4 linked regions of the Mus musculus genome follow. The protein of the gene in region 1 purifies or fractionates together with the protein of each later gene. This does not show direct contact. Links are inferred from orthologs where the notes say so. Each region holds a gene or a part of one and is shown on either strand. Other genes may lie near its edges.

Region 1 (4,055 bases):
AGTCAATCACTCCACCCTGATTTGGGGAAATATTGCACATTAATTTAAAGAACACATGGCAAATTCAAGATTTCTTGCTACTTAAACAACCTAAAAGTTGCTTGCTTCTAACTCTAACAAAACTATAGGAGACCATTATGATCCCAGAATATATTTCTACATTATAGTTTTTGGGAAATACAACAAAACTATTCTAGGCTAAAGGGTCATGCTGCATGCTGTGAATGTGTTTTAGGTCCCTGTATAATTTCAAAGATGGAAAAGCTGTCTTCTTTAAATGTTGCAGCAAGTGCTTAAGAACTACATCTAGAAATAAAAATGAAAATAATTGGATAACGTGCTACTTCACTTAGATGGAAAGTGGCGGAGCAAGAATCAATAATCTTTGCTTGCTGAATGTGAGATGACTATCCTGTACAGCTAAGGACTGACAAATTAATAACTTGGGGAAGGCACACCATGCAAGGCAAAGTTGATCATTTCAAATATGTGATTCCCATTTCAACCCACCTTAATTAAGATCTAAAAATCCAAGAGATAGCTAGCTCCCATAATTAAACAAAGCAAGGAGCAATGTGACAATGCTCAACGGTGAGCACTTAGCAAACCATCTCTATCCAATAAAGTCAGAACAAATTAAATAAAGACCAGAAACCACATAAATCAAATAAAGTCAAGCCAAATGAAATAAAGACCAGGAACCCTTTTCTGGTGATCACACTGAGTAGCCCAGAATCACACAAAGTTGATGAAGGGGAGGCACCAGTGTGGCCGCATGCAGGCAGGCGCCTGCTCACAATGGAGAGAGAAGCATGGAGCCTCTGAGCAGTAGCCATATGTAAAGTTCTATGTCTCCACATAATAGAAAGCTGTGCACGAAGGGGGAAAGTTCACGTGTCGTTCCAAACCAGGCAGAGCAAAACCAGTTCCTATTGCAAACTACTACTTGTCCAGATACAAGCAAAGTCAGACTTCAATGAATGGCGTGTGGGGCAGAGCAGTTAGGGAAAAGAGAGCCAGAGATGGAGAATGCATGAGGAAAAAAAAGTTTGGGGCACTGGGAAAAACTGAAATGGATTAATACCACAAAAAGCCCCACTCTTTCTATTTTACATTTCTTTCCCTCCCCTTCCTGAGTCTCAACCCAGACCTGCCCTTAAATACAGGAGACATGTATGTCCTGTACAAATGACCCCTTTGAGGAGAAAGGATATTTTTAAAAGCACCTTTTTATTTTTATCATAAATACAATGAGACCAGTCAGCACATGCGGCAGTAGACAGAGACTCCAATTCACAAAGTTTGGACTCCTAGTAGAAGCGTAAGCTATGCAGTGGTCTCCACATTTCAGAACTTGAAATAATTTGTTTGTTTGACTTAGCATAGTTAGAAGATCATAAGGAACCCAGTCTCAGTGTTTTTAGCCTCTGACTTATAACTCATAAAGGGTTATTTAGGTTGCCATGGGGGATACCCCAAATGTAAATGCTTTAAAAAGTTAAGAGTGGTTAAAAAAACAACAAGATGTGTAAAACATTTGTTGACATAATTTTCTTTAACGAAACGATAGTATAATGGGAGGAGAACTGTATGGATTTTGAGTAAAATGTTGGGTCCCACACTTTTTTCCCCCTTTGCGCTGGACAAAAGCTTAAGTACGTGTACCAACCACCTTAGCAGACAGACAAGGAGAAAGGTATGTGGAGTCATTACCTAGGCCCTCAGAACAGGATCCTGCAGTCCTTGGAACACTACCCACTGAGCTAGGTAGGGGAGCGTGATAGAAGTTTGCTTCTAAGTGGCACCAAAGGGGAAAAGAAGGCATCTTGCTCTTCTGTCTTTGCACACAGGAAGAACCAAATTCAATGCCTCCACCACTCCTGGTCTCGCTCCGCCCCAACCTCTGTGTGTGTACCGTGTGGGGGCACCTCTTGGGTGTTTTAGCCCACACATTCCAGGACGCCTCTATCTCATCGAGGTTAAGTTCTGGGACTCCCCCACGCTGAATCCTCAACTGTGCCACGATTAACAAGCCAACAAGTACAGGTGCCTAAGGTTCTGGCCTATTTTTATACGTGTACTCCCCCCCCCCCCACACACACACACACCAACACCAACTGAGTCTCTCCCCAGTCGCCTCAATCTCTCCAGTGCAAAACACCTTCTAGCCCGGACGCCAGGAAACACCTCGAGCTTTACTTCGGGGTCACCTGGTGAGAGATCCGGCCCTGCCTTCAGGTTTGCCCCGTGGCTGCCCTGGTCCCTGGTGCCTGGTGCCCAAAGCGGGGCTTCGGAGCAGTCACGTGGGCGGCACGGGAGGCCTGGGCTTCCTCACCTGCATCCCAGGCACTTGAACAGCCACCGGTGAGTGGGCCATGGTGGCGACTGCTACTTCGCGCTGCTTCTGCGGTGGTGGCGGTGGCGCCTCCGGCAGAGACTGGCTCCTCCTACGGAGGTATCTCTGCAGCTCTACCAGGCTTCTCGATCGAGGCCTGGAAGGACGCAGAGAAGTGGAGTTAGTGGGCTGGTGGCTTGCAGCCTCCACTCCCCCCATTCCGCCCCCCCCCCCCCTGCGGGGAGGTGAGCGGTTCGCGCCGCTGCTCTCCCGGACTCAGTTTACCTACCTCTCTGCCGCTCGCCTGCCTGGCTTTTGGCTAACTGCAGTGTTGCTCTCTTTCCTGAATGCAGGGCTTGACCTGTGGCGGTGCCTGGGACCTGGGCTCCAGTGATGCCGCTTTGCTGCGCCTCGCCGCTTTAGGAAGAGGAGGTGGAGGCACCCCAGCAACCCGCCCGAACGCTTAGGCTGGGAGGCGGCTGGGGGCGGTTCCCCGGTTGGCCCTGCCTCCACCCCGCTGCCGGGCGGTGTCAGGGGAGCTGAGGCTTCAGGCTGCAAAGGGGGTTGGCTAACATAGCCAGAGTTGGAGACGCTCGGGGCTCTCAGGGGTTGCGGAGAGCAGCAGAAAGGCGGGATCGGGATCGAAAAACTTGGAACATAACCGAGCCTGGAGAAAGAACAGAAGAGTTTGCGGGAGTGGGGTAGGGGAGATGAGGGCAACCCGGATGAATGCGGCCACGTTGCAGACAGGCTTGCGAGGCTGGGGTGCTTGTAGCCTCCCAGAGGTCTGGAGTTGCAAAAGTTTTGCTTGGCTCCCCCACCTGGCCAAGGGTGGGGCCACCGAGCCAGACACCTGCTCCTTCACGCCTAAGTTCCTTCCCTCTTGCAATTTTCAGCTTCCTTGCCCTTAGATATGCCTCAAGTCACTTTAACCTGAGTCTGTCCTTACCTTAGGCTATTAGTTGAGGAACGGCCTGGCTGAAATTGCTCACAATTTCTGCGCGTGTAAAAGAGAGGCAAATTGGAAAACGGATCATGTATTGGCAGAAAACTTAACAACGATAACAGAGGCAAGGAGCATGAGATTACATCTTTCCGAGTATAGATATTTGAATTTAGCATGCAGCACAGTGACTTCTGCAACTCTCTGCCTTCTTCTAATTTAAGTTCAACTCCAGGAGTGAGGCAGACCCTTTCTGGAGGACCCAATAACACAATAATGACAGTGATAATAATAGCAGTCACAGGAGTCTCAGGGAAGCACCTATGTGAACACCCGGGCTACTAAAGGTTACAGGACAAAATAAGATCCAAGTAAATGTGTAAAATGAGAACTCACCTTGAAGTTTGCCAGATGCCCGTGCAACCAATGCACACTCAACAAATGCTATTCTTTTTTAAATAATTTTTTTCTCCAAGAACAGTATCTGGTTATTATCAACATTAGTAGTAGTAGTAGATTTCGTTTTCATTGCCCCAGAGATCCCGAAATTTACCCTCTGTATATTGTAAAGAGTTATTGTGACAAGCGCTCACTTGAGTCACACTGCCTTCTCCCCACTGAGCAAATAGATCAAAAGGCTCAGCCAAGTAAATATTTGACTCAAATATTGCAATTAAAAAGCAATACATCTGAGAAGTCCAATCTGGGCCCCCCTGCCACATACTACCTTCTATTAATATGGTAGAAGTATATTAAATATGGTATTGATTTTACCTT
Region 2 (3,500 bases), on another chromosome or scaffold:
AAAAAAAAAAACAAAAAAAAAAACAAAAAAAAAACCCCAAAAAAACACATGAGGCTGCTGAATCATTCTGTGATTTTTTTTTTTATTCACTCAAGAAAATGATTATAAATAGCATAGACAGCCGAGCACTGTGTGCTTCCTCTATAAAAAGGAGCAGGGGGCTGGGAAAAGGGCTGCCTTGAGAGAAGGATGGAAGAGGCTGTCTCTTTGGGTAGGAGCTGGCTTCTGAGGACACAGCTACACAGAAACACACTCAAGAAGAAAAGGAGGCCATGCTGCGACTGCGACTTTGTGATTAGTTCAACACAGAGATAGAATGTGGACAAAGTGAAGGATTTGCCTTTGGGGAGTTCATTTTTCTTTCAGCATTTGGCTTACATAAGTTATTACTTTTTTTTTTTTTAAGTAACACGCTGACATATCTGTGTGACGCAATCTTTAAATTTACTGATTCCTGAATTTCCACAGGGTTTTGTTTTTTTTTGTTTTTTTGTTTTTTTTTGTCCAAAGCTATCCATGCTTCTGTACTGTGACAGTGACATCCTCCAAGCACGGAGCTTACAGATGGCCTGGTAACATGAAGGTGACGGACACGGAAACCCAAGCCAGCAGGAGAGATCTGTTCAGTGGGACACAGAATATAACCAGAAGGTAACAGCAAAAAGTAGCTCTGATGTGAGTTCCCAAACTGAAGCCAGGCTGCTGAGACGCATGGCAGACACATACGAGCAATGACTCTAGACACTGAAGGCTGCCTCCGGAATACTGGAGAACACACTTAGAATTAACAGTGCTGATGTGAATTCTAAAAAGCTTTATTTTTAAGAATGGTATAGTTTGAGCTGGGGAAGTAGCTCAGCTGTTGAAGGCTAAGGCTTATAACCAAAATGTCATGGATGCTGTAATTTGTGCAAGACTATTTCTCTCTGGACAGATGGATCTGAAAGGTGGCTGCAGTATTTATTCCTCACAACCTGCCAGCTCAGCACACGCAGGACAGCAATTTGACAATATTCTATTATTAAAATGGGACTTTTAGTTTTTAAAAAGAAATCCCTGTATTTAATGACTTCGAAGCTCTTTAGAACTCATGGTTAAAGTTATGTGCATATTAATTAACAGGTTCCCTTTGTACATGAGCTACTTTCAGTTTGCAAAAGCTTTGCTTTGATTTTTCTCTTAATTGTGAATGAAGAAACAGGAGCATTTGGGACTATCAAATAACTTACCTTACTGTAGAATAACGGGATTTTAGTAAACAATATAATTCTACGTTCTACCTTTAATGTTAGCACTAACAAAAGCCTTTATAGAAAAGAGAAAGCAGACAAAGCTCTCAGCACACCTTACTTTGTTCTCCATTGCTATACTAATGTTGAGCTTTTCCAGAAGCAAGTTCATTGATGGATAGATCAGATTGTATACATCTATGTACAGATTATATACAGACTAGACATATACACACTTGCTTTAGATACAGCACTTAACTATTATTATGAGAACAAATCTAAGGTCCTTCTTTGCATTTGAACACTCAAATATGTTTGGTGGATTTCTCAATGACTATTAACCACTCATTTACATACTTAGCAGGAGTGAACTCTGTGCCAAATATTAAAAAGGGGTCCACTTCCATAGGAAAAGAAGAATGAAGAGCATCACTTACTCAAAATGTCCCTGAGCAGCTGCGACGCACAAGGGTGTGAAGCCATTTTTATCAGCAGCGTCGACTCGGGCTTCTGCATTCAGCAGCAATCGCACACAGTCTACAGGATTTTAACAGAAGGTCACTCAGTGCAATGATGAGCCAGGTTCCCTCTAAGCTGTGCAGAGAATCTAGCAGCAAAGGCTGACCTGACCGCTCTGTCCTGCTGGATGTGGCATGCCACAGACTTTCACATGGAGAGCCATCTCTTTTCCTGAAGACAGGATATCTCCACAGCCACCAAGACATGGTTTTAAAAAAATATTTCCAGTAGAGTTGTTGATGGGTTAAAAAAAGAATACCATGTACCGGAAAAATACTTTGCTAGGTTCTAGGCCTGATTTTCTTCAAAAGAATGTTTTGGGGCAGACAATCAGATCTGTTTACCAAACTGTATTTATATAGTTACATTCTTACTGAATGATTAATGCTAATCTAATCATCAAAGTACTTCTATGTGGGCCATCCTACACTTGGCTACTTGAAGATCAAGGAAAGCCCACAGAAAGCCACCTGAGACACAAACATCACTAACACAGAACTTTCATAAATAATACTGAATGATCTAAATTTAATTTCTCTACAGTGAAGAAAATTCCCCCAGTGCCTTTTGAATTCCAAAGTGCTTTACATGTACTGAGTCTCCTTAGCTCCGAGTCTATCTGATCCAAGCAGGAAATAGTCCACAGTGCACACACATAGTAGCTTAGAACATGTAGTCAAGCCATCTCTTTTTCTGTGTTACCACGTGTTTTAGTATAGTTAACTACAAGATTTGCATTTGAAAGAGTAAAAAGAATTATTAGTCTTTGCTGTCATAACATTTATAGTAAGTTTTCACTTCTCAAAAAAAAAACCAATCTAAATAACTATAAATTATTACAAGTCCACTCTTTCTAATTGGTAGAGCCTCACTGTGGCAGCCACTCAACACCTAAGCCTAAGAGCCTGGAAGACCTGCTTCTCCCACAGCAGGTATTCTTGCTACCAAGGAAATCAGGGTTACTCTGTGCTGACAAGAGTGACCTCGGATGGAGAGTTACATTTTAATGTGTGTTTAAAAATCTCTATATGGACAATACATTTTGTTGTACCTTTGTGAAAATTGATTCACCACTGGCTCTACATTTTACAGTAAGGGGCCATATAATTAGGTCCTTAAATATTCATAAGACTTTAAAACTTATTTTTAAAAAATCCCCATTCTGTTCCTCCTTAAAAAAAAAAAAAAAAGAAATCCAAGAGGACCCTTTGCTCACAGCAGTGATTTAAATCACCTTTGGTCATCCATACTTTTGCCAAGTATGTTAAGGTAAGACACTGTTGGTTTGTTTTTTTTGTTTTGTTTTGTTTTGGCTTTTTACCTGTATGTCCATTCTTAGCAGCAGAATACAAGGCAGAATGGCCATCTTCGCAGGAGTAATTTATGTCCAGTCCTTCTTCATTAAGCAGCATTGATAATAAAGTGACATTTCCCTGGGCAGCAGCTTGCTGAAGAAGGGTGGGCCTGCCAGCCAGGGGGGCAGGACCACCACTCATTAGCAAAGGGGTTAGGGAGGGTGACCAGCCTGTAGGTTAAAGTGACCCTAGTTAGTGAGCAGGAAGAAGAGACAGATACTACCATTCCTTTTTGAATCACACACACAGAGACATGAACATGTATCCCTAGAAGATTACATGGTTTCTAACACTATCAATCTGTTAATACTTTCTTAGCACAAACCCATACTGTTATTTTCAGACTTTCTATCTGGTGCTAATTAAATTAACCTTAATGAGGACATGTTATTTTTAG
Region 3 (3,500 bases), on another chromosome or scaffold:
TATGTTAAAACATTTATATAGTCCACAATTCTTTCACATCTTTGTCGCAAAAAAATTCAAGTATACATATAAGTGGGAAGAATTGTGTGATGCATACCTGTGCTCAATTCTGATTTCTTTTTCTATTACAATTGATTGATATTCATTGACGAAGTGATTTGCCTTCTGGAATGTGACTTGATTTAAACTTGGTTTATATAAATGTTTATTGAAACATTTTTCTGAGCCGGTGTGGTGGCGCACGCCTTTTATCCGAGCACTCAGGAAGCAGAGGCAGGTGGATTTCTGAGTTTGAGGCCAGCCTGGTCTACAAAGTGAGTTCCAAGACAGCCAGGACTATACAGAGAAACCCTATCTTCAAAAACCAAAAAAAAAAAAAAAAAAAAAAAAGAAAAAAAGAAAAAGAAAGAAAGAAAGCAAGCAAGCAAGCATTTTTCTGGTTCTTTGGCATGAAGTAGTAGATAATTGGTCTGGTCAGAGGTTATGATACTTGTTTCACCTGTCCACTCACCATGGATGGTTTTGTTCTTCAATCAAAGACATAATCGCAGATGGCTCTCCTTTTAAGATGTTACCATTCATTGATGACTCTTCACGAGGTTCATTATTTCATTAAGGATATTTAACATAGTAATGCAATTCTGCCATTTCTTCATTTACTTCTTCAGAGAGAATTCTTCCTTCATGAACCATCTTATTACTCTGAAGTATATTTTCTACAGAAAAAAAAACAAAACAAAACAAGTCTCCCCCAATTATTTACTAGATTAAAACAGAATAAACTGTTTTTTGGGTTTTTTTTTTTTGTTGTTTTAATCCAGCAGCAAATGACAATGTAGTGCTTTCTCTCTTGCTTAGATTGAAGTACATTTTGGTGTGTTTAAGTCTATACTAGTAGTTATCTTTGTGGATGATCAAATCAGTCTGAGTTTTCTGTGAGTAAATGCTTTGAGGTTGGCTCTCTGGCTCTCTCTCACCTGCTTTAATGGCTCCAGCCGACTGCGAGCCTGGAGGCCCTGTGCTCACCTGCACAGTTTTTGTTCCAACCCTGGACTTTCCTTTTTCCTCACGAAGCTCTTACTGCTTCCGTTTGGGGCAAATGAAATTATGAGCAATGATTTTTGCTTATAACTGAAACTATGATAGCTTCTACAGAATACGAGTAATTAATCTTAATATTTGAGATAAACTATTTGCCTTTAGCTCATTTCTATTGAAATTAGTGTAATTTCTGAAGTATAAGTTACTACTGCAACTTTGAAATACACATTTAGTTAATAGTAGGCCAACATTTGTATTTGTGGGTACCGTGACATTATAATTTTGAGTATTTTAATGAGTTTCTTTCAAAGGATAAACAGTTTTCACAGAAAAGTGACTTGGGTGTGATGTGAGTGTCTTATCCTAGAATCAAACAGAAGACAGTTTACGGAAGGAGCTGATTGCACTGCAGGAGGATAAACACAGCTATGAAACCACAGCCAAAGAGTCCCTGAGGCGGGTTCTTCAGGAGAAAATCGAAGTGGTTAGAAAACTTTCAGAAGTTGAGGTATTTCACTTTTACTGCCATTGTTTTTAAAGATTTGTTTTACTTTTAAAATTATGTCTATGTGAAGTAAGTGTGGGTATTGTGTGCTAGTGAACGTGTCTGCAGAAGGCTGAGGCCTCGAATCCACTGGACCTGGAATTATAGGCAGTTTTCACCCATCTGATGTGGATGCTGGGAACTGAGCTATCATTGCCTGGTCTGGAGTTAGAGCAGGTTGGCCCCTGGACTACTTTTGTCTTCCAAGTGGTGGAATTAAAGACTTGCTGGCACCATGTCTGGTGGGAATTGATCTTTTGTCACATAATTGACGATGGTCACATAAGGCTGAGACGTTACTACTTCAGCCATCCTCTAGAGCAGTGGCTCTCAGCCTTCCTAGTGCTCAGGCCTTTAATACAGTTCCTCATGTGTGCTGACCTGACTCCCAACCATAAGGTTATTTTTGTTGCTACTCCGTAACTGTAGTTTTGCTACTGTTAATTCTAATGTGAGCACCCATATTTTTGGATGGTCTTAGGCACCCTATGAGATTGTTCTGCCCACAGAAGTTAATACCTACTGCTTTAGGGTGGCACTTTATCTTAGGCTTTACAAGTTAATATTGTCCAGGTTCTATGAAAAATCAAAGTGTGATTCTTGTGACTGAGGATCTAGCTCAGTGGGCATGTGCTTAGCATGTGTGAGGACATGGATAATGGATAGTTTGTATTATGGTCTCATTCTATAACACGTGCTTTATGTTCATTGATGTTTGATTAATCTGACATACACACAAAGTTTCAGGTGTCTTTCTGTTTTCACATTAGATGAATTGTTATATGGTTTTATTCTTACTTTAAGGATTGTTGACTTAGAGGTTGAGTGCGATAGAGTGTACTTATAATCACCGCACTTGGGAGTCTAAGGCAGGAGATTCACAGGAGATTAGGCTAGCCTGTACTTCATAGTGAACTTGAAGCCAGCTTGAGTAACATAATATTGTTAAGAGTTACGTTTTAGTATATATGTTGCTGAAATTATTTTGTCTTTTAAATCAGCTTTTTATAAATTTAATCCAAATGTTGATGTAGACTAGTTCAGAACTACACTTTTTACAAATTGAAAATAAAATTGAACGATAAATTTAAAATAAGTACCCATTTACTCTAACTGAATTCCCTGTGAACTTGCCTTGCAGCGAAGTCTGAGTAATACTGAAGATGAATGTACCCACCTGAAAGAGATGAATGAGCGCACTCAGGAAGAGTTGAGAGAATTAGCCAATAAATATAATGGAGCAGTTAATGAAATTAAAGATTTATCTGATAAATTAAAGGTATGTATACTAGTTCCTTTTGTGTTGCTGTGGTAGGATACCATGAACAGAATACTTTATAGAAGGAAGAGGTTACTTGGGCTTGGGGTTCCAGAGGAGCCTTTCACCATCATGGCGAGGAAGTGTGGCAGCAGTCATCTATGGCAGCTGGAGCTGGAAGCTTAGAGATCACTGGGAATGGCTTGAGCCTCTGAAACATCCAAGTCTATACCCTGTGACATATTCCTCCCACAAAGGCACACTTCTTAGACCTACCCAAACAGCATTACCAACTGAGTACCAAGTGTTCAGACATGTGACCTGTGAGGGACATTCTTAATCCAGCCATCACAGCTTCTATGTCAACCACTAGACGCATGTTAGCGTCACTAACGTGCTAATCGCTTAAGACGTTTATTAGTCACTCAAGAGCTGGTGATGTAAAATTGGGTAAAATTAAAAAGTTGAAACTGATAGTGAAAATAGAAAATGTATTCTATTTAGTCTATCCTCTATTATTGTTGAAATTGAAAGCCTTTAAAGTAGACATACTTCTAGATGGAAATGTAGTCAGCACTTCATAACAGCAGATGTAGTGTTTGCTTCAGCATCCCATAGACTAAGAAAAGAACAGCATTTTCTAATATACACTTGGAA
Region 4 (2,838 bases), on another chromosome or scaffold:
TGTTTAGTTTTTTGAGACAGGGTCTCTTGTAGCCCAGGCTGGTTTTGAATTTACTATGTAGCCAAGAATGACCTTGGATTTCTGCTCTTCCTGCTTCTGCTCCAAATTCTGGGATTACAGGCATGTGCCACCATGCCCAATTTATCTGCTGCTATCGGGCAGGCAGCATAGAGGGGAATAGCGCTGCTATATCCCACCCCTCTGTAATATCCCTTTACCACTCTTCTCATTTTAAAGTCGGTTTGTTTTTAACTCCTAGTGAAATAATTTGCACAGAACATCATACACAATTTATCTGTTTGTGTGTTGTAGGTCAGAAGGTAATTTTTAGAAGTTGGTTCTCTCCTTCCCTCATGTGGGTTCTGAGGAATTGAACTCAGGCCATCTGACTTCATGGTAAGCACTTAGACCTGCTGAGCCATCTCCTAGCCCTAACAGACATGTTCTTAAACCGGTACTGCCGTTTTCTGGAATGATTATTAAGATGTAAATTCCAGATTCCATCCATAAATTTCTATTTCATTAGGTGCATTTTAAGAAACATGGAAATAGACTTCAGTGGTAAATTATACATTCAGGACTTCTGCAATGAATAGGTTGTTAATGTGCTTTTCAAAGGTTTATACTGCTGAATATATTGAATAATTGCAAGCTGCTTATGACATCTATGTCATGAACACTTGCCATGGTTGCTATGTATGTGAATATGTGAAAAAAATCTCCTATACTTCTTTTTGCTTTTTTCAAGACAGGGTCTCCCTGTGTAGTCTCCTGGGACTCACTAGGTAAACCTGCATGTCCTCGAATTCAAGAGATGTGCCTCTGCCTTCCAAGTGCTGGGATTGCAGGTGTACATCGCCACTGCTCAGCTAAACTTCCTTTTTTTTTCCAGCTCAACTTCTTAGACTCATTTCTCAGTAAAATGAGCAAATCTTCTCAAAAAGGTTTTTATTAGTTAATATAATTTCATACTAAAATTTTATACACTAAATACTTCCACCCATTGCAAGAGATATTAGCATCTTCACACAAGTGTGAAACATTCTTTCTCCATTCAATGTGCTAGCTCTGCAATGCCTTCACAGCACTAACACCAGGCAGAATTTATACGACACAGGGCACCGAAAGCTTGCTCTACCCTCAGGACTGCAATGGAGAGATTCCTCTGAAAGCTAGATGCAAAGACCTTTGTAGTGAGTGCTACGGGAACAGAAGGCAGATAAAGAAAGGGACACCATGCTCACTGCTGAAATAGACTGACTGATAATGCTCTCACTGTGATGGGACCTGCTGTGACAGCTGACAAGTGGTAAAGGAACCCACCCCTGAATGGGTTTGTGGAGTACACACTTGGGGCCCTTAGGGGAAACATCAAGGGGAGCAGCTGGAGTGAAAGTTAACATGGGAACAAAAACCAAAGTCCATCTGGGCAAACAGTGCAAAAGGAATTATTTATAAACCTGACATATGAGCAAACCAAGATGAGAAGGAACTGACAGGGAGCTATTAGAATCTCAGGTTGTTCTTGATTGCCTGAATGCATGGCATCAGGAATGTGGTAACTTTCTGTGAGTAATAAAATGCTTCCATGAGAAAACCCAGCAGATGGAAAGACAGCAAAGTACTGATGCCGGTCTAAACCATCCCAGTGGTGCTGCTCTGCACAGCACAGCACAGCACAGCTGTGTGTCCATGAAAGTGCCTAGGAGCTAGGAACCTGTGAGTGAGGTATGTGTGTGTGTGTGTGTGTGTGTGTGTGTGTGTGTGTGTATGTGTATGTCTCATACAAGGCAACTACCTAAGCCGAAGACTCCTTAGGCAGACAGAATGGAAAACTACTTGGTCAAATAAATAAAAGCTATTTTTGGCATTTAAGTCCAATGTACATGTACAGTCATGTACATCTAATAGCTCCCTGTGCATGATGGGGCAGGCCCAAGTTCCTCAGCACTCTCTGAATGACTGTGGATCCTTGAGGAGGAGGAGGAGCAACGCGAACCCGGCTTACTTGTTTTCAAGCGTATTTCCTGGGGACTAATAGATTCTCTCAAATTAAGAGCAAAGACACCTGACCACAAAGTGCCAACTCCTAGCACCGGAGAGGATCAAACCCCATGGATGAGCGACGTCACTCAGAGACTCTGCCAATCTGCTTCTTTGAAGTCATGCTACTTTTACAAGTGGAAGAAAAAAAAAATCTAGGTTTACACCAAATATGTATTTTTAAAAAGTTAAATCTTTGAAAAACTCTTAGAAGGAATTTTTATAATCCTATATAAAATAAAATCCTGGCTTATAATAAAAGTGTTCAGTGTTTCCAAGCTGTGAAAAACAACATTGAACTGCAGGTAACAGTTTATAGAGATTCCGGACTAGAGTGACAAATGTCATCTCTGTCCCAGCAATGGGGGACTTGTCTAGTTTCACTAGTACACCCCAAACTAGTTAGTGGACAATGAATACCAAGTGGCAATTCTAAACTGCCACCCCATACCTCTACCCAACACTAAGTCAAGTCTGCGGCAGGACTCTTGGACACGGCAGGAGAGGAGGGCACGGCTTCTCGCTCTGACGGGCAAGCTGTAGCCAGCCTTCGGAAGTCCAGTTACTTGATGGTCTGAGAGGCAGGAGCCACAGAGCTTTCTTTTCCAACCTGCAGAGATTCACTGCTGATGGACAGTAACTCTCGAAGTTCCTTATTTTCAAGCTGGGGAGAAAAGATATTTCCTGTGTTTTAATTGTTAAACTATGTCAGAACATACTATTTTGGCCCAGAAAGAGGAAAAAAAAATTTTTTTTTGGCTTTTCTTTTTTAAGATTTATTTATTATTATACATA

The links.
Region 2: the proteins of Stk26 (region 1) and Cttnbp2 purify together in Homo sapiens (affinity purification with mass spectrometry; 4 studies listed by BioGRID and IntAct, with this or other methods). This does not show direct contact. The link is inferred for Mus musculus from reciprocal best matches to the Homo sapiens genes STK26 and CTTNBP2.
Region 3: the proteins of Stk26 (region 1) and Slmap purify together in Homo sapiens (affinity purification with mass spectrometry; 5 studies listed by BioGRID and IntAct, with this or other methods). This does not show direct contact. The link is inferred for Mus musculus from reciprocal best matches to the Homo sapiens genes STK26 and SLMAP.
Region 4: the proteins of Stk26 (region 1) and Sike1 purify together in Homo sapiens (affinity purification with mass spectrometry; 4 studies listed by BioGRID and IntAct, with this or other methods). This does not show direct contact. The link is inferred for Mus musculus from reciprocal best matches to the Homo sapiens genes STK26 and SIKE1.

Annotation. Positions count from the first base shown.
Region 1 is NC_000086.7:50,840,116-50,844,170, reverse strand, and holds the start of Stk26 (serine/threonine-protein kinase 26), read right to left. Parts: upstream 2,801-4,055; 5' UTR 2,625-2,800; intron 2,493-2,624; 5' UTR 2,378-2,492; coding exon 2,336-2,377; intron 1-2,335. UniProt on the Homo sapiens protein: Serine/threonine-protein kinase that acts as a mediator of cell growth. Modulates apoptosis. In association with STK24 negatively regulates Golgi reorientation in polarized cell migration upon RHO activation.
Region 2 is NC_000072.6:18,424,370-18,427,869, forward strand, and holds part of Cttnbp2 (cortactin-binding protein 2), read right to left. Parts: intron 3,274-3,500; coding exon 3,070-3,273; intron 1,767-3,069; coding exon 1,667-1,766; intron 1-1,666. UniProt on the Homo sapiens protein: Regulates the dendritic spine distribution of CTTN/cortactin in hippocampal neurons, and thus controls dendritic spinogenesis and dendritic spine maintenance.
Region 3 is NC_000080.6:26,461,625-26,465,124, reverse strand, and holds part of Slmap (sarcolemmal membrane-associated protein), read left to right. Parts: intron 1-1,408; coding exon 1,409-1,549; intron 1,550-2,726; coding exon 2,727-2,864; intron 2,865-3,500. UniProt on the Homo sapiens protein: Associates with the striatin-interacting phosphatase and kinase (STRIPAK) core complex, forming the extended (SIKE1:SLMAP)STRIPAK complex.
Region 4 is NC_000069.6:103,001,577-103,004,414, reverse strand, and holds the end of Sike1 (suppressor of IKBKE 1), read right to left. Parts: intron 2,708-2,838; coding exon 2,606-2,707; 3' UTR 501-2,605; downstream 1-500.